Linked DNA regions of Arabidopsis thaliana. The protein of the gene in region 2 interacts with the protein of the main gene of each other region in a pairwise test. Each region holds a gene or a part of one and is shown on either strand. Other genes may lie near its edges.

What was found.
Region 1: the proteins of KELP (region 2) and MYB70 interact in a two-hybrid assay, tested with the Arabidopsis thaliana proteins (one large-scale study listed by BioGRID).
Region 3: the proteins of KELP (region 2) and HB-7 interact in a two-hybrid assay, tested with the Arabidopsis thaliana proteins (one large-scale study listed by BioGRID).
Region 4: the proteins of KELP (region 2) and AT2G22750 interact in a two-hybrid assay, tested with the Arabidopsis thaliana proteins (one large-scale study listed by BioGRID).

Annotation. Positions count from the first base shown.
Region 1 is NC_003071.7:9,903,274-9,908,890, reverse strand, and holds MYB70 (myb domain protein 70), read left to right. Parts: upstream 1-2,858; 5' UTR 2,859-3,066; coding exon 3,067-3,996; 3' UTR 3,997-4,385; downstream 4,386-5,617. Other genes in the region: AT2G23270 (uncharacterized protein), read right to left, coding at 5,320-5,580.
Region 2 is NC_003075.7:6,694,941-6,701,709, reverse strand, and holds KELP (transcriptional coactivator p15 (PC4) family protein (KELP)), read left to right. Parts: upstream 1-2,510; 5' UTR 2,511-2,606; coding exon 2,607-2,906; intron 2,907-3,084; coding exon 3,085-3,190; intron 3,191-3,724; coding exon 3,725-3,816; 3' UTR 3,817-3,851; exon of another isoform or gene 3,852-4,036; intron 4,037-4,254; exon of another isoform or gene 4,255-4,366; coding exon of another isoform or gene 4,367-4,777; 3' UTR 4,778-4,998; downstream 4,999-6,769. Other genes in the region: AT4G10910 (uncharacterized protein), read right to left, coding at 4,367-4,777. UniProt on the Arabidopsis thaliana protein: General coactivator that functions cooperatively with TAFs and mediates functional interactions between upstream activators and the general transcriptional machinery. Binds single-stranded DNA.
Region 3 is NC_003071.7:19,163,896-19,169,733, reverse strand, and holds HB-7 (homeobox 7), read left to right. Parts: upstream 1-2,766; 5' UTR 2,767-2,960; coding exon 2,961-3,320; intron 3,321-3,540; coding exon 3,541-3,957; 3' UTR 3,958-4,460; downstream 4,461-5,838. Other genes in the region: AT2G46670 (CCT motif family protein), read left to right, coding at 4,501-4,953, 5,047-5,145. UniProt on the Arabidopsis thaliana protein: Probable transcription activator that may act as growth regulators in response to water deficit.
Region 4 is NC_003071.7:9,669,301-9,675,505, reverse strand, and holds AT2G22750 (basic helix-loop-helix (bHLH) DNA-binding superfamily protein), read right to left. Parts: upstream 3,834-6,205; 5' UTR 3,762-3,833; intron 3,623-3,761; 5' UTR 3,597-3,622; coding exon 3,549-3,596; intron 3,398-3,548; coding exon 2,900-3,397; intron 2,523-2,899; coding exon 2,142-2,522; intron 1,957-2,141; coding exon 1,882-1,956; 3' UTR 1,602-1,881; downstream 1-1,601.

The DNA.
Region 1 (5,617 bases), on a different chromosome or scaffold from region 2:
GAACGGAATAATTTCCTTTCTCGTGAAAGAATATAATTTTAAGAATTGAGTTACAATACATTCTCCCTCAAAATTCGTAATGAAAAGTTGTACTTTCTTAAAGGAAAAAACTATTGTTTTATAATACTTTGATGGACGTACCACTTAATAATGTATTACATTCACTACATCACAAAGTAATACTTGTATGATACATCAAGGGACAGAGCATATTGATTATCATGAAAAACTACTATAGTTGAAAATCATAAAAAAACAAAAGCACATTGAGATACATATCATATAATGGGGGAAAAAACACTCATACGCCTAAAAATTTCCAATGCATACCACTTCATGTTCGTAGATTTATTCAGAAAACGTGTAGGGTATCAGGATAATGAGAGAAACATTAATCAAATCTCACGTGAAGGGATGCAGAGTTAGTAAATGAGATATACAAGTACGATTGCGGACCACACATACACTTATACATGTTACTCGGTCAATGTCATTAATATTTAATTTGAATAAGAAAATACCAACTACATAAATGATTAGTGGTAATAGTATATACAATTATGGGAAGGAAGAATTTGGTAGTAGATACGATGGACCAATAAGGGAAAATCTCATACCGTATCTCCATTAATGACACCTTCTTGTTTAATCTATAAAATTTGGCTTCGATAATTAAACAGAATCTTAAGAACTCTTTTCGATATCTCTTACCTTATCTAACTATAACTTGAAAGAAGAGAATGAGGAAGCTCACGACAAGGTTCATGTTGGCATTGGAACATGTGCAGGCGACGTTTTTTGTGCGGTACACGGCTGATGTACGGTTTAACGTATTCCTTTGTATATGAGTATCATGTTGACAACAAATAAAACGACAAAGGAAATGAACTTTACTTCAACATAAATCTTTTAGACATGTTAAACTAGCTTATATCAAACAATGAATAGTAACGATAGGCTCTCAAAACTCTAATCGATCTATCCTGTCGTTTTCGATTTACGTAAGAATCTTATTAGTATCTTTTTGAATATCCAAAATAACTGATTTTTGTATATAAAAAGTAGTAATAATATTGGCATACAGGCTGGCTTCTTTAGTCAGAAAAGTCTCTGAAGAATCCAACAAAAAACCTAAACCACTTTTAACGTCATCCTTATCTTCGTTTTATTTTTCTTTTAATCAGAAAATCAAAAACAAAAACAGAAGAAACTGGAATCACTCAATAAGTATGGATACTTTACTTATACGTTTCTAATATGTATAGATACGTCAATTCAATACGCAAAATACAATTTCGAAAAAAGCGACGTTTGTGTTTCAGTGCTTTTAAATTGAAAACAAAATGTGTTTTCACACAACAAAATAAAAAATAAAAATATTCTTAAATTTGTTGTGAAACCAATACAAAATACAACGTTCAAAAAAGAAAAACTAAAACGACACACGACATATATGATTTTATAATTAAAGTCGAAGGAAAACGTAATTTTTTCTAAATCTAATGAAAATACCAACAAAAGTTTTTAAACTTAAATCGAAAGAGACCGAACCCAACAACTAAAATCATAAGCAACTAAACACAAACCCTTTAAAAAACATTAGTCTTCAGAATCAATAAATCCTTTATTTTGAAATAACTACGGATAAAATTTATTAAGTATATGCGATCAAACCAAAGATAACATTAATTACTTTCTATCGATATAAGAAACAGTCCCGTCTCAAGCTATAATTGAGCCTTTGCCAAAATAAAAATAAAAACTAAAATCTCTTAATAAAATTTTGTTTTAAGAAAATTGGGCCTTTTATGCTTATGATTGTTTTTAAAATCAGTAATAGATCCATGGCATTTGCCTAATTTGCCATGGGGTAAAGACGGTCTTGATAAGAGTCAATCTTTCACAACCTAAACTAAAGATTTTATAATCCGACAAATAAAACGACCGAAAAAACTTAAATACGTTTTTAGATACGACAACGATAATTAATGTGCATCTAATTACGTTTAAATAGAAATCTTCAAAAATTCGACCATACCAACACTGATATGCAAAGGAAAAACAAAGAATGTAACCTTCAAAATGCAAAAAGAAAAGATAATTAAAAAAGGAAATAACTTAAAAACGAAATGATTTAAATTAAATAAAAAAACGATCCACCTGTGAAACGCTCTCAAGTACCACAAAATGTACTCTCTCTATCACACACAGTTACATATTTCGTTGACAGCTGTCCCCACTAACAGCTGTTTCCCAAATCCCCAACCGTTTTCTTGGAAAGATTCTCTCTTTATTTTAGCCTCACTCTCTCAGACGCATTTCCCCCAATCGCACCGCCACTCCCTGACGTGCTTTTTTCTTTCTCTTTTAAATATTCAAATACGTATCAGACTACTCACGTTACATCTTCTTCATAACTAATCCAATTTAGAAATTACGCAAAATTACTTAAATATGTAGTTTTTCTAAATAGTTTTACATAACTACAATATATAAGAATTTTTAATTTGAATTTATTTTTTGAAAAAGGTTTGCATTTATAATTTGATGTAATATGATTTGATTTTAGTTTAATATCTTTGTTTAGTTATAGTTAGAAATACAGTACATGTTTAGTTATAATTTAACATTCATTAAAAAAACATTACATAATAATTTGTTTAATAGTATATATTTTAATAAATTTTAGTTTAGAGTTTATTTTGTTTGGTTCAAACTAAATTTCAGTTTTCTGGATTTTAAAATAATAAAACAAAACGGCATATACTTACATATTTAATTTGGTGTCAGTTAACTTATTTCAATTTGATTCAGTTGAAAACATAATTATGCACGTAAATAATCCAATTTACAGTTACGAAAAAATTAAGTTGTTGTTAACTAACGATAAAAAATTACCGGTAGAACCGGTGACCTCTCTAACCATCACACCTCGTATAAATACTCTCTCCTCTTCATACTTATCCTCTCAACAAAAATCGTTTCGTTCTTTTCCAAAATCCCCAAACAATAGAAACGCGTTTTAAACGATTTGATTAGTTTTAAATTAAAAAGAAGATCCGAGCGATGTCTGGTTCGACCCGGAAAGAAATGGATCGGATCAAAGGACCATGGAGTCCTGAAGAAGACGATCTGTTACAATCGTTGGTTCAGAAGCACGGACCAAGGAACTGGTCTCTGATAAGCAAATCAATCCCTGGACGTTCCGGTAAATCTTGCCGTCTCCGTTGGTGTAATCAGCTTTCTCCGGAGGTAGAGCACCGTGGATTCACGGCGGAGGAAGATGATACGATTATACTAGCGCACGCTCGGTTTGGTAACAAGTGGGCGACGATTGCACGGCTTCTCAATGGTCGCACTGATAACGCGATTAAGAATCACTGGAACTCAACGCTGAAGCGGAAATGTAGCGGCGGAGGCGGCGGAGGAGAGGAAGGGCAGAGTTGTGATTTCGGTGGTAATGGAGGGTATGATGGTAATTTAACTGATGAAAAACCGTTAAAACGGAGGGCGAGTGGTGGAGGAGGAGTTGTTGTGGTGACGGCGTTAAGTCCAACGGGATCTGACGTCAGCGAGCAATCGCAATCTAGTGGATCTGTTTTACCGGTTTCTTCTTCTTGTCATGTTTTTAAACCGACGGCGAGAGCTGGTGGAGTGGTGATTGAGTCATCATCGCCGGAGGAGGAGGAGAAAGATCCGATGACTTGTTTGAGGTTGTCTTTGCCTTGGGTCAATGAGTCAACAACTCCACCGGAGTTGTTTCCGGTGAAGAGAGAAGAAGAAGAAGAGAAGGAAAGAGAGATTTCTGGACTTGGTGGAGATTTTATGACGGTGGTGCAGGAGATGATTAAGACGGAGGTTAGGAGTTACATGGCGGATTTACAGCTAGGAAACGGCGGAGGAGCTGGAGGAGGAGCAAGTTCGTGTATGGTGCAAGGAACTAATGGTCGTAATGTAGGGTTTAGAGAGTTTATTGGATTAGGTAGGATCGAGTAGTGAGTGAGAAAAGAGAAGAATTGTGTAGCAAATGCAGAGAAAGAGCCAATTTCATGATTTGAGATTTGATTCATTCGAAAAAAAAACTGAATAAATGTATTGATTTTGATCATGACATGTCTTAGATTTAATGAAATTGGTCTATAAAAGGGTTGATGAGGCTGGTCCTCGAGGTGAATCAATGTTACCTTTTGATAAAGTGAAAGAAGAGCATGAACAAAGTCATTTCCATACAAAGAGGAGTTTACAGCATTCTTGATCTCTCTAGACTGGTCTTGCGATTCGAAGAGTGAAGTAATGAATTCTACTGAACCAAGTGACGATTTCCGTAGTTTGTTACCTTCGGTTACCGACTATAGCATCGCAGTAAAGGTTATAGTGTGAGAGACAACATCATATATAGATATTCAATGAATGATACAGAGTGTAGAACAGATCACCTCAATACAACTAACTGTAGCAGTAAGGCCTCTACCGGGGAAATACTCAAAGCACAAGGGAGGTCCTTCCCAATACTGTGGCTCTGCAAAAAAGAAAGAGTTTGATTGTGTTAATAACTATCAAGCGGTGTAAGATTACTGATGTTTGACAAGCAAATACCTTCCAATAGGATGTATGGTACCTTTCTCCATAGCAGCTGCTACAACTAATGCTTCCTTTTCACAATTTGGCATACAATACAACAAGGAGTCACACTTGCATCAATTCCTGCTTGATGATGTCCATAAATGGGTTCAATTGCTTTGCACGTAAGGCTCCTAATGTTTACCTATATAATGGAGAAGAAATATGCACTAGATATGTGTATAACTTGTTGTCCAAGCCAAATTTCCACAGCTCCATCCGGAACAACATCCTTCAGAAACTATCTAAAGAATTGGTTAACTTCAATTTCCACGGAAATCGCGATTTCTTGGTTAAAGTTGAAGTGGATGTAGCTGTTAAAGAGGTAAGCTTAGGTGATTATCACTCAGAAGAAGGTTAAAGTTAAGTCGCTTCTTTTTGCTTTGTGGATTTGGAGCTTAACTATGTTGTTATTGAAACTCATTAAAAACATGAATATCCAGTTATTCATTCACATAATCAGAATAATAAATTAATTACAATATATATTACATTGTACATTATTATCAAATGAATTTCAATAAGTTAACAAAAGAATATTCCTACAGAGAACAAATGAGGTTCTTCCAATTCTTGATTTTCCCAAGTTCTAAGCATAAAAAGAAAAATCTGAATAATTAATCTGAAAAAAAACTAAACAAAGCAATCAATTTCCGGAGCTAGACCAAAGCAGCCACATTAACTGGTTCGGTCGGGAACTTAGTGACCGGGTCCACTCGTGCTGGGACCTGAATGCTTACCATATTCAAGCGTCTCAGTCCGGTCCACGAACCGATGACCCTCACCACCAGAGCTAGGACCCGACTCCTTAATCGCCCCAAGTGACAAACCATCGAAGAACTTAGCCACGAGGTTCTCTTCAGCCTTCGTTAAACCCAAAGGACGAGCCTCCACCACAAAATTCGAACTCACCAACATGAAAAACAGAAACGAACCCAAAACAACTTTGTTCATCATCATTTTCTTTGAGTGGTATTTTTGAGTAGTAAAAACAAAA
Region 2 (6,769 bases):
GTAAGAAGTGAAAAAAAAAATCCATATATCAATTAAGGTGTTAAAAAAAAAAGTCCATATATCAATCACTTTTCTAACATCGTCGATCATTGTGACGAAAATCGCTTACGTCTGTACCGTATTAACGTAATGCCATCAAACGAAAAAGTTTGCTCACTCACTCCGGTTTAGATCTTTGTTAACATAAGCAAACTTTTCAGAGAGTGAACTAATAGATTCACGAAACGACACCGTAATTAGTATCGAAAACTTGACTGACATCAGCCTAAGAAAAATATCGCAAATTGTTATAAAATATTAAACTTAAGAAGAAAAATGAAAATATAATAGAGTTTACTTAAAAAAAAATAATGGGTTAGCTGATTTTATACCCATAAACTAATTGCATTCTCAGCTTTTTCCCCCACACTTTTTGGCTCTTAAATTTCTACCATAAACTTTGATAATTCTTTAAATTACAACATGTACTTTCGGATTCATCCTTAAACATACATTTCCAATTGAACCGGTCATTAAACCAGGATTAACCACAAATCCGCGTTTACTGTACCACGATGCGATTTACCCGATTAATCACCTCTATCCGTTAAGAAAAGGGTTGGCTGATTTTATAGCCATAAACTAATTGCATTCTCTGCTTTCCCCCTCACACTTTTTGCTCCTGAAATTTCCACCATAAACTTCGATAATTCTTAAAATTGCAACATATACTTTCAGATTCATCCTTAAAAATATGTTTCCAATTGATTTAGATTGTCATTGGAACAATCTTCAACCTCTTTTGTCTATTTTGGATGATGTATTTTCGGAAGTTGATTCTCTTTAAGATGATATTATTTAGGTTGACTAATTGATTTGGAGTCTTATCTATCCTTATGATTAGGAGTTTTATCTAGTTCGATTTGTCATTTTCCTTACCAATTAACACAACACATAACATATATAGATAGATTCACATTATAAAACAAAGAGAAAACGATGTCGTTTTCTTAACGGGTGTGGGATTAGTCGGGTAAATCACAATAGCGGTACACTAAACGCGGATTTATGGTTAATCTCGGTTTAACAATCTAAATCAATTGGAAACATATTTTTAAGGATGAATCTGAAAGTACATGTTGCAATTTTAAGAATTATCGAAGTTTATGGTGGAAATTTCAGGAGCAAAAAGTATGGGTGAAAAGCAGAGAATGCAATTAGTTTATGGCTATAAAATCAGCCAACCTTTTTCTTAACGGATATGGTGATTAATCGGGTAAATCGCAATCGTGGTACAGTAAACGCGGATTTGTGGTTAATTCCGGTTTAAAGACCGGTTCAATTGGAAATGTATGTTTAAGGATGAATCCGAAAGTACATGTTGTAATTTAAAGAATTATCAAAGTTTATGGTGAAAAATTAAGAGCCAAAAAGTGTGGGGAAAAAGCTGAGAATGCAATTAGTTTATGGGTATAAAATCAGCCAACCCAAAAATAATAGAATTAACAAGAAAGTAAGAGACTTAAGGAAAGAGTAATAGATAAAAATAAGCATTATCCATATTTTATAGATAGAAATGAGCGATGGATTACCACCACGCTTATACGATTGCGATAATTACATCTATACTTATCCAGTTTTACAGAAAAAATAATAGATAAAAATAAGCATTATCCATATTTTATAGATAGAAATGAGCGATGGATTACCAGCACGCGTATACGATTGCGATAATCACATCCATACTTATCGAGTTTTAAGGAAAAAGTAATAGATAAAAATAAGCATTATCCATATTTTATAGATAGAAATGAGCGATGGATTACCACCACGCTTATACGATTGCGATAATCACATCCATACTTATCTAGTTTTAAGGAAAAAATAATAGATAAAGATAAGCATTATCCATATTTAATAGATAGAAATGAGCGATGGATTACCACCACGCTTATACGATTGCGATAATCACATCCATACTTATCTAGTTATAAGGAAAAAATAATAGATAAAGATAAGCATTATCCATATTCAATAGATAGAAATGAGCGATGAATTACCACCACGTTTATACGATTGCGATAATCACATCCATATTTATCTAGTTTTAAGGAAAAAATAATAGATAAAGATAAACATTATCCATATTTTATAGATAGAAATGAGCGATGGATTACCACCACGCTTATACGATTGCGATAATTACATCTATACTTATCCAGTTTTACAGAAAATATAATAGATAAAAATAAGCATTATCCATATTTTATAGATAGAAATGAGCGATGAATTACCACCACGTTTATACGATTGCGATAATCACATCCATACTTATCGAATTTTAAGGAGAAAATAATAGATAAAAATAAACATTATCCATATTTTATAGATAAAAATGAGCGATGGATTACCACCACGCTTATACGATTGCGATAATTACATCCATATTTATTCAATTTTAAAGAAAATATAATAGATAAACATAAGCATTATCCATTTTTATAAATAGAAATGAGCGATGGATTACCACCACGCTTATACGATTGCGATAATTTCATCTATACTTATCGGGTTTATAACACCGATAATCCGATTTGGTCAAAATCCGGCGGAGAAAAACCCTAAAAATGGAGAAAGAGACGAAGGAGAAGATCGAGAAAACTGTGATAGAGATACTCAGTGAATCGGATATGAAAGAGATAACAGAGTTCAAGGTTCGTAAACTCGCTTCGGAGAAACTCGCAATCGATCTCTCGGAGAAATCTCACAAAGCATTTGTACGAAGCGTCGTGGAGAAATTCCTCGACGAAGAGAGAGCGAGAGAATATGAAAACTCACAAGTGAATAAGGAAGAAGAAGATGGAGATAAGGATTGTGGTAAAGGAAACAAAGAGTTTGATGATGACGGCGATCTTATCATTTGCAGGGTTTGATTTCATTGCTTTTTCTCGAATTCGATTACTGATTTTGCTTGAAATAGGATTGATTTTGATTTGTATGTGGTCTCGTAGAGAAGCTAATAGTGTTATCTCTGAAGCAGAGATTGTGAATTAGTGAATGTTGTGTGTTCTGAATTTGGAATGTTGTTGTTGTTGTTGTTGTTAGTTATCGGATAAGAGAAGAGTGACGATTCAGGAATTTAAAGGGAAGAGTTTGGTTTCTATCAGAGAGTATTACAAGAAAGATGGCAAAGAACTTCCTACTTCTAAAGGTACTTTAAAGCTCTCTTTGTTCTATCACAATTTTTCAGAAATTGTAGAGCCAAATTCTGTGTTTATGTGCAAATGTTTCTTTCAAGTTCCACTTTAGAGTTGCATCAAAGTGATTTTCGTTCACAATTCGAAATTTGGAGTCAATGATGATTCAGAGTTGTTATTGTTTTGGGTGTGTTAAGTTTCAGTTTTGTATATTAAGTAAAAAGCTTTGGTGATTACAAACCATTTTGGCCGAAAAGTTGTTGACTTGAATGATTCTTTCAGTTTATGGTAGTTTAGTTTAACCTAGCACTTAAGCTTGTTCTGTATTACATCTTTGAATTTGTGCAAGTCCTGATATTTTGTGTAAAAGTCATTAAATAGTTTCTGTTTTATCTACTTTGAGAATAGTTATTTGGGTTTGAATATAGTTCATCTTTTCTTCTCTATAGATAAAAAAAAAAGGGACAACCATTTTACTCAAAATGGACCATATTGAGAATATTTTTGATTCATGTCTGGTCTCTGATATGTTATAATGTTATCTCCAGGAATAAGCTTAACAGATGAACAATGGTCAACCTTCAAGAAAAACATGCCAGCCATCGAAAATGCTGTCAAGAAAATGGAATCGCGTGTCTGAATGAAGAACATGTGATACTTTATCTCTAAACATGTGTAAGTGTCTTCTTAAGTAGTTAGTTGTTCGAATGTTCAGGTCTCTCATGTAACTGTCTTTTTTATTTTCTTCTCTCGAATTGGTCGTTATGTGTCTCGTACTGAGTTGTATCCATTTCGCTTTAACCGATTCCAAAAACTCTGGACCAAAGTACAAAACCATCTGATCCGGTTTCAAATTTCAATCTTTTGCATTTGAACAAACCGTAACCGAAACTAAACAAACCCCAAAAAAGTAATCCTGCTAAAACCTAATATTTTTTAAATATTTTCTCAAAAACCAGATCAGACTGAAACACAGACTGTGTCAAACAGAACCAAATGTATTAATTTTTTCCTCAGTTGGTTTCTATATTTCACAAAACATAAACTTCGAAAACCGAGTTAGATACACTCTTTATATAACAAGATATTTTTTTCATTTATCAAATGTTTGTGCTATATACACTTTTTGCTAGGATTACAAATAAGCCACATAAAAAAAACGCAATCATCGAACCTAACAGAAGTAGTTCTCATTGTCTTTTTCGGGACTTGGACAATAAACTTTTAACTCTGACCATCTCAGAGGCGGAGGTTGAAGAAACTAAAGCTTCTGCTGCAGCAAACCGGAGCTGATCAATCAAAGCGTGTGTATTGCCTTCAACTGCCAAAATCTCTTCAAGCTGCTTACTTCCGATCACCACTTTCGCTTTCCAAACTCCATTTCTTCTTTGCGGCGACACTTGTATCCTTGGCCCAAGTACTCCTCTAGGGCTTGTTGTACCTTGTCTAACAAGATACCCTAGTGTTTTCTCCCTTGTTATTGGCAACGAGCTACATCTCCGGCTTCTGTAATACTCTTCCAGGATGTTTCTTGAATTTGTCGCAATTACGGTAACCGAACCACCACCATCAGATACTGCTCTTTGCGAACAATTCCCCATCTTCACAGCAACTAAAAATGAAGAAAAAATAAGAAAGAAACAGAGAGTTTAAAACTAAATTTTGAGTTTGATTTGATTGTTTTTGGTTCAAGATAGGTTTATAAATACTAAAGAGAGAGTAACTCTCAGACAAGGATTGATCAAACAGTCTCTTTGTTGTCTCTTAATCTCACTACTTGCATGTGATACTCCGCGCTGTGCATAATACTATTACCTTATCCTCATCCTTTATAACTCATTTTTTTTCTAATTTTTTTCTTTTTTTGTTCTCTTGCGTTCTAGATAAAATTCTTATAAAAAATGCCAGCAATATAGCAAATATTTCAACTGAATATCTTCGGGGATAGACTATAAGTGATTTTTTATATTGTACTTATAGAAACACACATATATACAAACTATAATATGTACAAAAACATATCATATATACAAACTATAATATGTACAAAAACATATCATAAAACAAGAAATATGTATGTATGTATGTATGAATACATAATGACATATAGATAATATGACCCGTGGCCCGTGGGGATGAACCAATAATTTGGTTGATTTTCATTTATTAGTTTTGGAATCGCACTATGCAATAACTAAGCTATTACATTAGGAACATCATTATTATTTTATTTTTTTCAACTTATGGATAATTTTATTGTAGGACTATTTGGGTTAGTAGGGAAGGAAGGAATATCAAATCCCGTGACCATATTAATTTTTATAGGCATATCATTAACCAATTATCATTTTCATATTAAATCATTCACGGGTTAATATGCATATCATTAACCAACTATTTGGAGTTCGTAACATATTTTAGAAAACGAAAAAAAGAAAAGAAGAGCCCAACCAGGTTCACACCGGTGACCTCTAAATTTGCAGTCAAATAGTCTACCACTGAGCTATGAGCTCTTTCAAATTTTATTATTTAATTAATTTGAAATCAAAGTATAATTTTTAATGGACTTTATATCTTTGGGTTTGTTATTTTACCTCTCTGTTAATTTTTGAATCATAGAAATTTTTGAATTACAGATGTTTGAAATCTCCAATATAATTTACAAATGTTTTAAGTACTATAACATAGTTATAAGAAGTATGCGGCGATTTGGGGGTGAATTTTTTTTGTTGGGTTTTCTGGAGATAAATAATAGGTTTTGGAAAGTAATTAGCTTATTAGCCCGGTCACACTATTAATTAGAGGATTAGATGTGAGAATGTGTGTAAGAGAAAAAAATGTGTGAGACTGTGAGTGGGTGTAAAAAGTGGGCATGTGAAATGATGATTGAAACAAATGTAAAAATAGAAGGGACATGTCAAGATTTTATTGATAGTCCGAATAATTCATAATAACTATAATTCTAAATCTACTGTAAACATTTAGTTTATTTTTTTTTAAAATTAAAACTTACTAACTATCCAAAAAACCTTTTCACTAAACAATATTTTTGTTGTCTACTATTTTATTCAAAAGATAAGTTTTTATTGCCTTTGCATTATTGAAACAATGATAGTGATGAACGTATTAAGGCATAATTTTATGTATAACATTATGATATATTACGATCATAAGTTATAACTTCAGTTACATTTCTATAATTTAATTTGATATTTTTGTCTTTTGAACATGTGATAATTACTTAAACCATATGAAATGTGCTTAATAATGGTGAGTGTTAGACTCAATGTTGTGCCAAATGAGATGGTTTTTAACTTGGTTCATCATTTTTTGTTTAATTCGATTATTTTCTTTCAATTTAATATTCAAGGATAATGCATTTTTCTAGAGTGGATAGCAAATTGTCTTTCTGAATATCTCTATATTTCAATTCATGAATAAAGTTGACTATGTGAACAAATAATTCAAAAAAAATATACTGATTTGTACATTAGATATGCTGGTTTCATAACAAAGAAAATATAAAAAAACAAAAATAATTGACAAATAAAGGATTACAACATAAATTAAAAAAATAATCTAAATGTGTTAAT
Region 3 (5,838 bases), on a different chromosome or scaffold from region 2:
GAATTTACGATTATTATAACCTTTTTGATAGTAACATTATAAATAAAACCAATGATGATTTTGACCAAAAGTAATTAGATATTTCATCTATTAATTCTATAAAGTTATTATCACGAAAAGATAAGCTTTTTTTAAGACGGTGCTAAATGTCTCTTCCCCATTGGCACCTCCTTGGCATCATATTTCCACAGTTCCACACCATCAGATATTCAGATTACACATTAATTTGATCTAGTTGTTTCTCAAAATAAAACAAAAAAATTTCGAATGTGGTTTAGAATATTTATTGTCCATTCGGAAAATATGGAATAATAGAGTTCTATAATTCTATCAACAATTCCAAAATTGGTGGAAAAAAGTCTTCTTGTCTGATAAAGTCACTACTATAAATTACTTTTTCTATCGTTAAAAACCAAATTACTGTGTTTGATTCTCATGTATCATAAATTGATTAGAGATGCAGTAACGGTAATAATCTAAAAAGCAGGACAAAACTTAATTCATTCGTTAAAGAAAATAAAATAAAAATAATAAATTCATTCGTTAATAAAATAGATCTTCGTTTGAATATTACGATGGTATGAAAACAAAGAAAAACTTTGTGAACGTGACACCATACTGATAATCTAACATAAAAAGTCCTAATTAATTGTAAATATATCAAAAAATTAATGTCACACGCGGCAAGTCGAGGAGCTTGCAAATACAAACAAGCCAAGCCATCGTTTATTTAGTAATAAATTAAAATTATACTTTTTAAAAAAAGAAATGAAGAATTTGTCTTCTCCTACGGCTCTTCTCAGAAATTGCGATATACTAGTTAACCACGACACGTGTGTACTTTGCTGGGCCAAAATATTCAGGCACCACCACAGATCAACTGCCATGTCATCTCTTCTATCAACTTTGATGTCCCAAAGCATTGAACTCTCATCTCTGATTATAACACTTGGCTAGTTTTCGATGGCTGATTTTGATACTTTTTGATTGCCACTTTCTGATAAGTTCAATAAGACTTTAGAAATTGATCTCTTACGTTAAATTTTAGTTGGTACTTCTTTTTGGTTTAATTTTAGTTGATACTTGATAGATATAATTTCGAATTATGTTTTTTTTTACAAATATCAGATTTAATTATTAAAAAAAGAATATTAGGGTTTGAAAATATCTTATCTAGATGGCCCAATTTAATATTTTTGCTTGTATTAATTAGTCAAAAGAAATTTCCGACAAGCAAGGTGAACGTAAACCTTAAACTAATCAGGAAAGCAAGAATTAAAGTTGCTTTTCACATTAATACTAATATTGTTAAATTGTTATCGCTATCGTGAAGAAAATAAAGTCTAGGGAATCTGCCTCAAATATGGTTTCCCTGTTGGCAAAAATTTAACTTGCTTCCATTCAAATGATGAAATGTTACGAAAAATTAGCCTTTTGTCTTTGGAGTAATGTTTGTTAAATAATCACGAGGCATTCATTCTTAAAATACCATAACATTTATAGAGGTTTGAAGTACCATAATTTGTAAAACTAAACTAGAGAAATTTTGCGAAATCAGTTGTATGAAGACTTTCTTAAAAATAACGTTATATAGACTCTAGAAAAAAACTATTATATGCCATTTCTATTTAGTTTTTTTTTCTAAAAATATATATAAATATGGTGTTGTTAACATAAAAACAGAAAAAAAGAAAAATTTAGAAAATTTTCTCAAGAATCATTATATCTGTGATTTATCATATAAGTTCAAATATGATATTAGAAACAAATAGTTTACGAGTATAATAGTATTGTCAATTTTTCAATCTGAAGTAAATATCTTTTTGTAAGGAAGGGGTCAACAAATGATCACAACAGAGTTGGCAAAAAGTTATCAAATCGCATGCACGGAAGTTTTACGTGTGGTGAAGGTAAACTTGTATTACACTTATCTATAAAAATTAGTTTAGGCTTTGATTCTAAATCAAATCTCCGATTAGAAAAAATTGCGTAAGCAAATAGCTGGAAAAAATTGTATCCCATCATACTTAAGTCACAATGTTTTGTTTTTGAGATTTGTGATGTAATCAATATATGTTTTACAATGCAAGTATAATAATATTAAAGTCACATTCTAAGAAAATTATGATTTGTGTCATACGTATACAAAAACACCCGTCACACATCCTGACTTCTGAACGTTAAATCTGTCGCACACAATCATAAAAATTTAAAAATTCACCAGAGATGTACTGAAAAGAATATAATTAATCACATGATGATATATGCATAGGAGATGAGGATTATTCATTTTCTGAAATTCCCTATATGAACCATTATAATTGTTTAGTAATCAGTTCAGAAATGCTAATCATTATATGAACCATTATAATTCCCTTCATTTTTATTTAAGATCCACTTAACAGGATTTGTTAATATGCACCCACATCACTAAATACATTGGTACGCAACCGTTGTTCCATTTCCATTTTCACATCGACCAGAATGTTTACTATGCGGTAAATTGTGTAGTATGCAGATTTTTTTGTATCATTTAATTTTCTAACACTTGTTAAGTCGAAACTAATTTTGTCACAAGTAAAAGAAATAAAAAAGGTGGAAATTATTAATCAGTAGTTAGATGATTAGTTTCGAGTTGAAATGAAACTCGACTTAACAAGTGATAGCGACGACTCTAGAAACAGCCAAAATCCGCCCTATTGCTACCTGTCGACCCACAAATCGTTTACTCAAAAATGAATAAAAAATTTACGATAAAGCAAACCCAAAGTTATATCTTATTATATGCTAAGGAGCCCTCCCAAAAAAGAACAACAAATCACATTTTTATATAACTGTTAACATAATAATCTCAGCCTCATCAACACACATATATAGATAGCCAACATCACACAAACATAGAGATTCCAAAAAATAAAAATAAAGAAAACATAAATCCTCTGAGGAAAAATTCCGATGAGATGACAGAAGGTGGAGAATATTCTCCGGCGATGATGTCAGCAGAGCCATTCTTGACCATGAAGAAGATGAAGAAGAGCAACCACAACAAGAACAATCAGAGAAGGTTTAGCGACGAGCAGATCAAGTCACTGGAGATGATGTTTGAGTCTGAGACAAGGCTTGAGCCAAGGAAGAAGGTTCAATTAGCTAGAGAGCTAGGGTTGCAGCCGAGGCAAGTGGCTATATGGTTTCAGAACAAGAGGGCTCGTTGGAAATCCAAGCAGCTCGAGACTGAGTACAACATTCTCAGACAAAACTACGACAACTTGGCTTCTCAGTTCGAGTCCTTAAAGAAAGAAAAACAAGCTTTAGTCTCTGAGGTATGTTCTAAACTCTGTTTATTCTTACATGGTTAGTTAAAATCTGTGTATTTTGTGGTTGTATACTGAAAAACTGTGGTTTTAAATATGTGATAAAATATGTGCTTTAGTGGTTATATTGCAATTAAGGACTGATTAGGTGATCAAGAAAAACTCTGTTTTGATGGTTTATTGAAGGAGAGAATAGATTGTTGATGAGTTGTTTTATACCTTTATGTAGTTGCAGAGGCTAAAAGAGGCGACGCAAAAGAAGACACAGGAGGAGGAAAGGCAGTGTAGTGGAGATCAAGCGGTGGTTGCTCTAAGCAGCACACATCATGAATCAGAAAACGAAGAGAACCGGAGGCGTAAACCGGAAGAGGTTAGACCGGAGATGGAGATGAAAGATGATAAGGGTCATCATGGGGTTATGTGTGATCATCATGATTATGAAGATGATGATAATGGTTATAGTAACAACATCAAGAGAGAGTATTTTGGTGGGTTTGAGGAAGAACCAGATCACTTAATGAACATTGTTGAACCAGCTGATAGTTGTTTGACATCATCTGATGATTGGAGAGGTTTCAAATCAGATACTACTACTCTCTTGGACCAATCCAGCAACAATTACCCTTGGCGGGATTTTTGGTCATGAAAACAATAAACTCTAAACAAGAAGATGAAACAGATTGAGACTAAAGATTGGATATATACATATTCAAATCGAAATTTACCGGTCTACATCGCATGAACCGAGCCACGGATATAGAGATATTCGGTCCAGCAAATGACTCGTTTCTCAGCGAGAATTTTGCAGGATTTTGAGCTGAAATTGTATGGTTTTGTCTGTATAAATGATGTGTTTAGAAAGACGTATATTCTCAGTTCGTGTTTGTAATTCTGTTTTTAAGTAGTAAGTACTCGTCATGCTTTGTAGCTAAGTAGTAAGTTTAAGACTAAATTTGGATGAATAAAAATCAAAAGCAGGAGAAATCATATATATAAAGTGTTATGCATTAATATGTAAAAGATCAAGAAGAGAACTAAGTTGGTGAGAAGAAACTGATATTAGGAACACGAAAAGAACCATGAAACCCAAGTTAACATCTTCTTGACTCGGAAGATTTAAGGAGAAACTTTGTTTTTTTCTCAACAAAAGCAGAGTATCAAAACAGAGTCAGTCAATTCGCAAATTCTTATGTATTTAACTTGCAGATTTGAGGAAAGCAAGTCAGCAGAAAAAGCCGTCGTTGCTTTAGAGGAGAGTACTTCAGGTGAGCCAAAGACACCAACCGAATCACATGAAAAGTTGAGAAAAGTAAGATCTGATCAAGGAAGCTCCACAACGAGCAGCAACCAGGAGAATATCGGATCATCAAGCGTAAGCTTCCGTAACCAAGTTCTTCAGTCCACAGTAACGAATCAGAAGCAAGATTCACCCATACCGGTAGAATCAAATCGCGAGAAAGCAGCTAGCAAGGAAGTAGAAGCTGGTTCTCAAAGCACCAATGAGGGGATTGCTGGACAAAGCAGTAGCACAGAGAAACCAAAGGAAGAAGAAAGTGCGAAACAACGTTGGAGTAGAAGCCAGAGAGAAGCTGCATTGATGAAGTTCCGGTTGAAGAGGAAAGATCGATGCTTTGACAAAAAGGTAAGAGACACACAAGCTTCATCATAAAAACAGCATCTGAAACAAATACAAGATCAAACTGATTCAATGGAGATGTATAAAAATGGATTACAGGTTCGGTACCAGAGCAGGAAGAAGCTAGCAGAACAACGTCCTCGAGTGAAAGGCCAGTTCGTGCGAACCGTGAATTCAGACGCGTCTACAAAATCATGAAGAGCTCTTTCAGTTTTTCCTCTGATTTCTTTTGTTGATTTTATAACAGAAACTTATTTAGCTTTTGCAATCTTTAGTGTGCTTTTTTTTTTTATGTATTTGATTGGCTTCTTCTTCTCAGCTAATATGAGATACTGGGGCAACTTTTGTATATATGTCTGCAAATGATCAGGCTAAGCTAAAACAGTAATTCCAATTTCGTTAAGTTGAGAAATATTTCTTGTTGTGATCATATCCAGGCCGCTTCTCTCTCGATACATACCAACAAGAAACAGATTCTATAAAACTTGATTTATATACCATTGCTATAGTCTATGTATTAAAACTCATCACATTAATTCTCTCACAGTCAGAGAAACAAAAAAAAGGAAACAGAAGCTATCAAAAGAAATCTTTTTTGTGACCGTTAAAAGAAGATTTTGTGACCGTTAATTGTGATTATCAGTTTCCTTTTCTTCGCTTATAAATAAATAATTACTCTCTCACTGAGAGTCTCAACGCTTCTTCTAAAGAATTCGACAAATCAAAACTCTCTATTTCTCGCTTCTTCTTATTCTAAAACCCTAATTCTCTTCTCAAGACAATTTTGTCTTTATCTCTCTGTGAATTCCGATGATGATCCAAGTAGAGATATTCAAGTAAAAGCCGATGGTGATGATCTCTGAAACGTCCGTAATTGATCGGAGCGATATC
Region 4 (6,205 bases), on a different chromosome or scaffold from region 2:
CCAAGTTAGATAAAAAAATTCTAACAAATGTAAATTATATATAGTATAAGCGTTATTTCTTATCTAATACCCCTACTAGTTTCAGAAATATACCAGTAGCCTTTCTCTTCCCATCATTAAGGACAATTATGGTCCAGAAACAAAATATCATGTAATTAAGATTGCTGTTAGCCTGTTAGGTACTTAAGTTTATGTGACCTTCTAGGCATTTTGGTTGGACTTTTTGGACCTGACGAAGACAAAACAAAACTCCAAAGAACACTTTTGGTTTTCACATTTGTTTGACCTCCGTGAAACGAGTTTCCAATAGAATAAGGAAAATGCCACGTTTTTAATTCAATTAAATAACTCATGGCTCATGCATTGCTTTGGTCGCCTGTTTTTAAGGAATTTCCACTATAACTATAACTTTTGCTTTTTACTTTTTTCCGTAAGATGTGAACTAAATCATGGGGAGTGGAAATTAGTTTAATTACTTATAAAATTGAGGTCTACTCCCACGTTTTCAATTCAATTAAATATTTTTTGTTTTTGTTTTTGTTTTACGATTATAGTTTTTTCTTTGGATTCAATTGCTATAGTTTCTAGAAAGCTATATATGTATATGTACATTCTGATAATGTGTGAATTTTCTCATACATAAAACTAAAAAATTTCAATAGATTAATATACGTATAGAATCTCAAACACTCCTTCATGCTTTGGTAAAAGTTGTCTGCTTTATGACTTTTTTCTTAAATCTAGCCAACTGAAGGTTTCTAATTTCGGTCCTCGTTTTAAAACGTTACTTTTGACTATATTTAATTAAATAAATTTAAAAAACATAATGATTAGCAAATGAAAAGGTGCGACTGAAAAAGTATTGCATGAAAAATTGATTTTATTTTCACTTTTAATACACATTTTATCACATAGACATAACTCATAAGTCATTACACGGTTTTGACAAAATGCTCGTGAACTGACCAAAATATTTTTAATGAAAAAGACTGAATCCAAATGCGTCCTAATTAAACCTGATTATAACAGTTTATTAAAATTTCCGTTTGCGATATATCAAACTCTATGGAGTATATACATACTTTAGTTAAGATTGAAGAGTTTTTTTTTTTGTTTGAGTTTGATTTTATATACATTTACATTGATATAATCTTCCTATATTTCACAGAAGGCATTTTCGTAATCTTTCCTACAATGTCATCTATATAGGGTTTGAATGTATACACAACTAGTTCACGTTTTGAAAACGTGATTCCGTTACTTATAATTACCATTCAAAATATTTATTTAATTTTGTGTTTTCACTATATCGTATACCACTATCGTGTTAAAAAAATGTGATTAATTTATTAAAACTAGTTTTTTTTAGCCTTTCATAAGTATTATACGAAAAATTTCTCTCGTTTAGTTTATTCAGTTCTTTCGTTATTCACCTGTAAATTCCATAATATATCAAACATAGATGGTTTGAAAGACAAATATTATCGTAAACAGTAAACTACTCAACCATTTTAACAGTAATTATCATATAAATATATCGTAGTGACTATAATTGACAGAAAAGCTTATCAAAATACAAAGAAACATATCGGACGTTTATTAAACTAACGAAATGCTTTACATCGCAGGAAATATATATCCAACAACTGCGAAAAAAATTCCGTCCCAAATGAAACTGGAGAGAAATAATTACTAAACATTTGATGATATGCATCTTAAAGCACACTTAACAACACAAGAACAAGGATCTTTAAATGACTTAAGAATCTCCATACAACAAACTTAACAACTAAAAAACCACTTTCATGGAAAAACTGATTTTGGATTCTTCGATCGGAGAAATCGATGATGAATGTGTATATGTATGTAACGTGAAACCAATTAAGTGAGCTTTGATAAGCCAAAACTCAAGTTCTTCACAACATCCTCGATTTTCATATCAAAATTGTTATTCTTCTGCAAAGAATAAACTATATCATTAGAATTTTCGAATACTAGAATATTTAAGTCCAAAGTCATACTAATTCTGAAACATGTACATTATCTATAGAATTGATTTATGTTGTCACACGATATATATATTTATGTTGAATACTAGAATAAAGTTATGTTGTAGCTTATATGAGAAAATATATAGTTACCTGAGCGATAATAGAGATGTCAAAAGTGGGTCCAAAGGGCAAGACATTGCTGTTGGTGATAGACAAACCAAGCTTTTCAATCTCCCCCATAATCTTGATCACATTACCCTTTTGCTTCTCGCATAGGATCTTAATAAGAACATCTTTTCCTGAAACCCTAACTTCTATTTCTGGAAGATTTGAGCTCGAGCTATTGCGATTTCCATCTGAGGAAGATGATGATGATGGTTGATGATTTTCATCTAAAACCAGACTAGACTTCTTTACAAGAACCACTGATTCCATTGTCTTTTCCTTCTTTTGTTCCTCATACTCTTTCACACTCTCTTGGAGGTACTTTATATGCTTTATTGCATCTCCCAACACAGAAGCCTTGTCCATCTATAATGACATAGATGCATATTTCAATATATAGCATGTAAATATATTTATATTTAATCGAAATGAAAAACCTTCAAGCCGGAACTGCAAATGATTTGTAAAAAAGTAATAATTCTTATATATAGAGGATTTGTTTTAGTATATTTCGAGTTTCACAAAGTCGGTCCTGGTCAAATAATTTAGTCTCATAACCGGGAGATCTGAAGTCAAAACTTTCATTGTGGGTATAAGAAAAGAGTGAATACTGTCCATGAAAATTGGTTTCTTGCCTAGCAAAATAGAATTATTTAAGAAAAGACTACACTATCATTTGGTTGGTATGCGCCTCTTTATTAAACAAGAAGAAGAAGAGAAGATTTATTTTTACATATGTGTACCTTCTTTAGGCCAGGAATTAGCGCGGAAAGAGCTACAAATCTTTGAGTAAGCTTCTCTCTCCGTTTTCTCTCTGCCAGTATGTGATCTTGAGCATTTGATTGGCTTCGAGTCAAGGATTGAGCTCTCTTTGTCCCTCTTATTATCAGCTCGGCTTTCTTATGCTCTGGTAATCCAATTTCTTCGTCCTTGGGGCTAAATATTAAGTTTGGAGAGTTGTGATTCATAACATGTAAACCTGTCTTTTCAAAAGAAAGAATCCTAGAAGAGGGCTGGTGCTTTGGAGGAGGAGGATTAGAAGAAGAAAAAGGATGTAAGTTTGGTGATATGTGAGTGGTCTTGAGGATCTTTGAAGGTCTTTCTTCTACCAAACTTTTATTACAAGAAGCATCAAGGTTATAACAAGTGGTGGTATCATCAAGAGATGAGAGAGACTGTGGAACATCTCCGACGAGTGAGTTCATGTGGAATTGGTGGATGATACTATATTCTTCTATATCCTATACGAAAAGCAAATAATAAAGATTCGTGAAATTTGCCTAAGAAAAAGTAGGTTAAAAGAACATGAATATAGATTTTATATATATACAAAATCATATGAGGAAAGAGAGGCACACATAAATATGTATGTATGTGTGTATAGAAATATACCAATTCGGAGGACCATTTGGTAGAGAAAACGTTCATCGCTGTGGCCATGATCGCTAGCTTCTTAGTTAAAAAATCTGAAAATTGGTAATCATATGAGGAAACTATTAACCCAAGAAAATGAAATTATATAACATTAATATTTCTTGAATTCCAAAAGCTTTACAAGAATTTGAGAAATTTAAGCAGTCTAAGAAAGATGAAGTTGAAGTTTACCTTCTATAGAGAGATAGATAGAGAGAGAGAGAGGGAGATTTGGACTTGCTCATGTGCTAATGGCTAAACACGATTATATTTTTATACATATATACGACGACTCTGAATTTTATGTGCAGGCGTGAAAGGCAATCAAATACAAATAGATACTGGTTGATAATATTAATTAAAAATAATAATACATTAGATTGATTGATACTGATAATACTCTCAAAGATTTTGATGCCAATGTGTATCTATTACTAAATATGAATATTTAGGATCGAATAATGATAATTGTGCGAATTTTCTAAGAATTTAAATAATATATTTCTTGGAAATATTTGTCTTTCGAAAATCTCCTGGACAAATTTGTTTCTTAGAAATTCTTCTAATTTTATTTTTTCTGGAAATCCCTCAAAAGCATTGTTTCTCGAAAATCTCTTCAAAAACCGTCGGAAATATTAGTTTTTCGAAAAACTCTCGGAAATTTTCAAAGATATTTCGAAATACATGGATTTTTGACCACTTTAAGCTAATGACAATAATCCTTCGGAAATCCATCTGAAAGCACATTTCTGAAGATTTACCAACGAATTTGACCCTATGAAATAAGATTTTTATCTTGTAATGAAAATTGCTAGTTATAATTTATTTTTATTTTTTTATTTTTACTTCTATTAACAAGAAAAATTAGTTTAAAATATTTGATTTTATAAGACAAATAGACATATTATATATACACAAATAAACACATAATATATACAAACAAAACAAAACAGAAAGGGAGAGTCAGATCGTAAAAGAGTCTTCAGTGATGAAGGATCCTTAGAGGGCTTGAGGGGAGCTAGATTCCACCAAAGATACATACTGTATATAATTTGTAATTGTGTATGATTAATCAACTAGTTTTTATTTTATTTTGTTCACATCAATCAACTAGTTAAGAAATAATCTTTCTCCATTTTGATAAGATATTATTCCCTTGATCTTTGGTTTAATACTAATATTGATGTAGGGTTAAGAAAAGATTACGAAATCTTCATGAATACCTAATAATATCATCTTCTTAAATCTTCCCTATATATTGCCAACAAGAATGTATTCAAACAATTATATCTTGTTCATTTTAAACAACGGTCGCTAATCAGAAATAAACAAAGAATTTGCATTCATCCTCAATATATGGTGGGTTCAATCATTGTTCATATATATAGAAAAATGTATTTTCTTTCATTACTTTTTTTTCTCACTTGTTACTTGTTAGTATTGCGCCAACCCAAGATCTTCCCTTGATTTGTTTTTGTATTTGATATAGTATTGGACTATTGGTTATGACATGTTTCTGAGGTATCAACTATTGGTTATGACATTGTTACAACTTACAACTTGTCAATTTTAATGGGTAGGTAGAAAAGAAACCAAAATGTACAATCACTTTATCAAAATTACATTTCAGAAAGAAAGAAAAATTATGATCTATATAAACATATATATAAGACTTTCTAATATAATACATATTTAGAATGTGATTGGCTAGGGCTTATCTATAAATAACACACACACACATATGCACATAAATAATTAAGATTATTTCTTTTAGAAAAGAAAAGAAAACATATGAACTAATGAGTTACGTTTTCGTTGGAAAAATAGTTCTCGTCTATTCTATCACTAGATACATAGAAATCATCACTAGATTTTTCAGTATATCGCTCATTCTATTTTATTTTTTACCATACACTGGTAATATTAACACAGAAGCATGTTATTTCCAATGAGTTACACATATAAGAATATAATTGAAATATAGACCCCTTTAATTAGATATATATTTGCAAAATTTATACTCTTAAGAAAATAAAGTGCTTGCGAATAGTTATTGAGAGAGACACAGCTGACTCTTTTGAGGGTCTAGTGTCTTGTGCAACCATGGTAATCTAGGTTAAGAAAACTCATTAATTTATTTTATATATACGTACTCATAAAGTTTTGTTGGAAGTGTTGAAATAATCAGCCTTTCAAAATAAAAAGCACGTGAGTTAGTCTAATAATCTATTGGAGAAATGACAGGCAAGAGACAACTAATCTCTCGATCCCTCTATTACCTCACCCCAAAATATAAGCATCAAGCATCTTGAAATCATTTGTATAATATATACATGCAGTCATGCACATGATTAAGGTATAATAATTAGAACTTTTTCGTTGTTCAAGATCCAATTCTCTATGATGAAAAATAGTTTGATGGGATCCGCATATCCAGTGTAACGTGAGAAATTAACATGTGTTATTTATATCTATTGGTGCATAATTAATATTTTCTTATAAACGCTCACTAATAATTTTGTTGTAGGAGTAAATTTTGGAAGTCAAACACTAATTTGGTAACGAAAAAGAACAAAAAGAAGTAGACAAAGAAACTTTTATTATATAAGCTTCTGCAATTTGTTACGTTTTAAGGG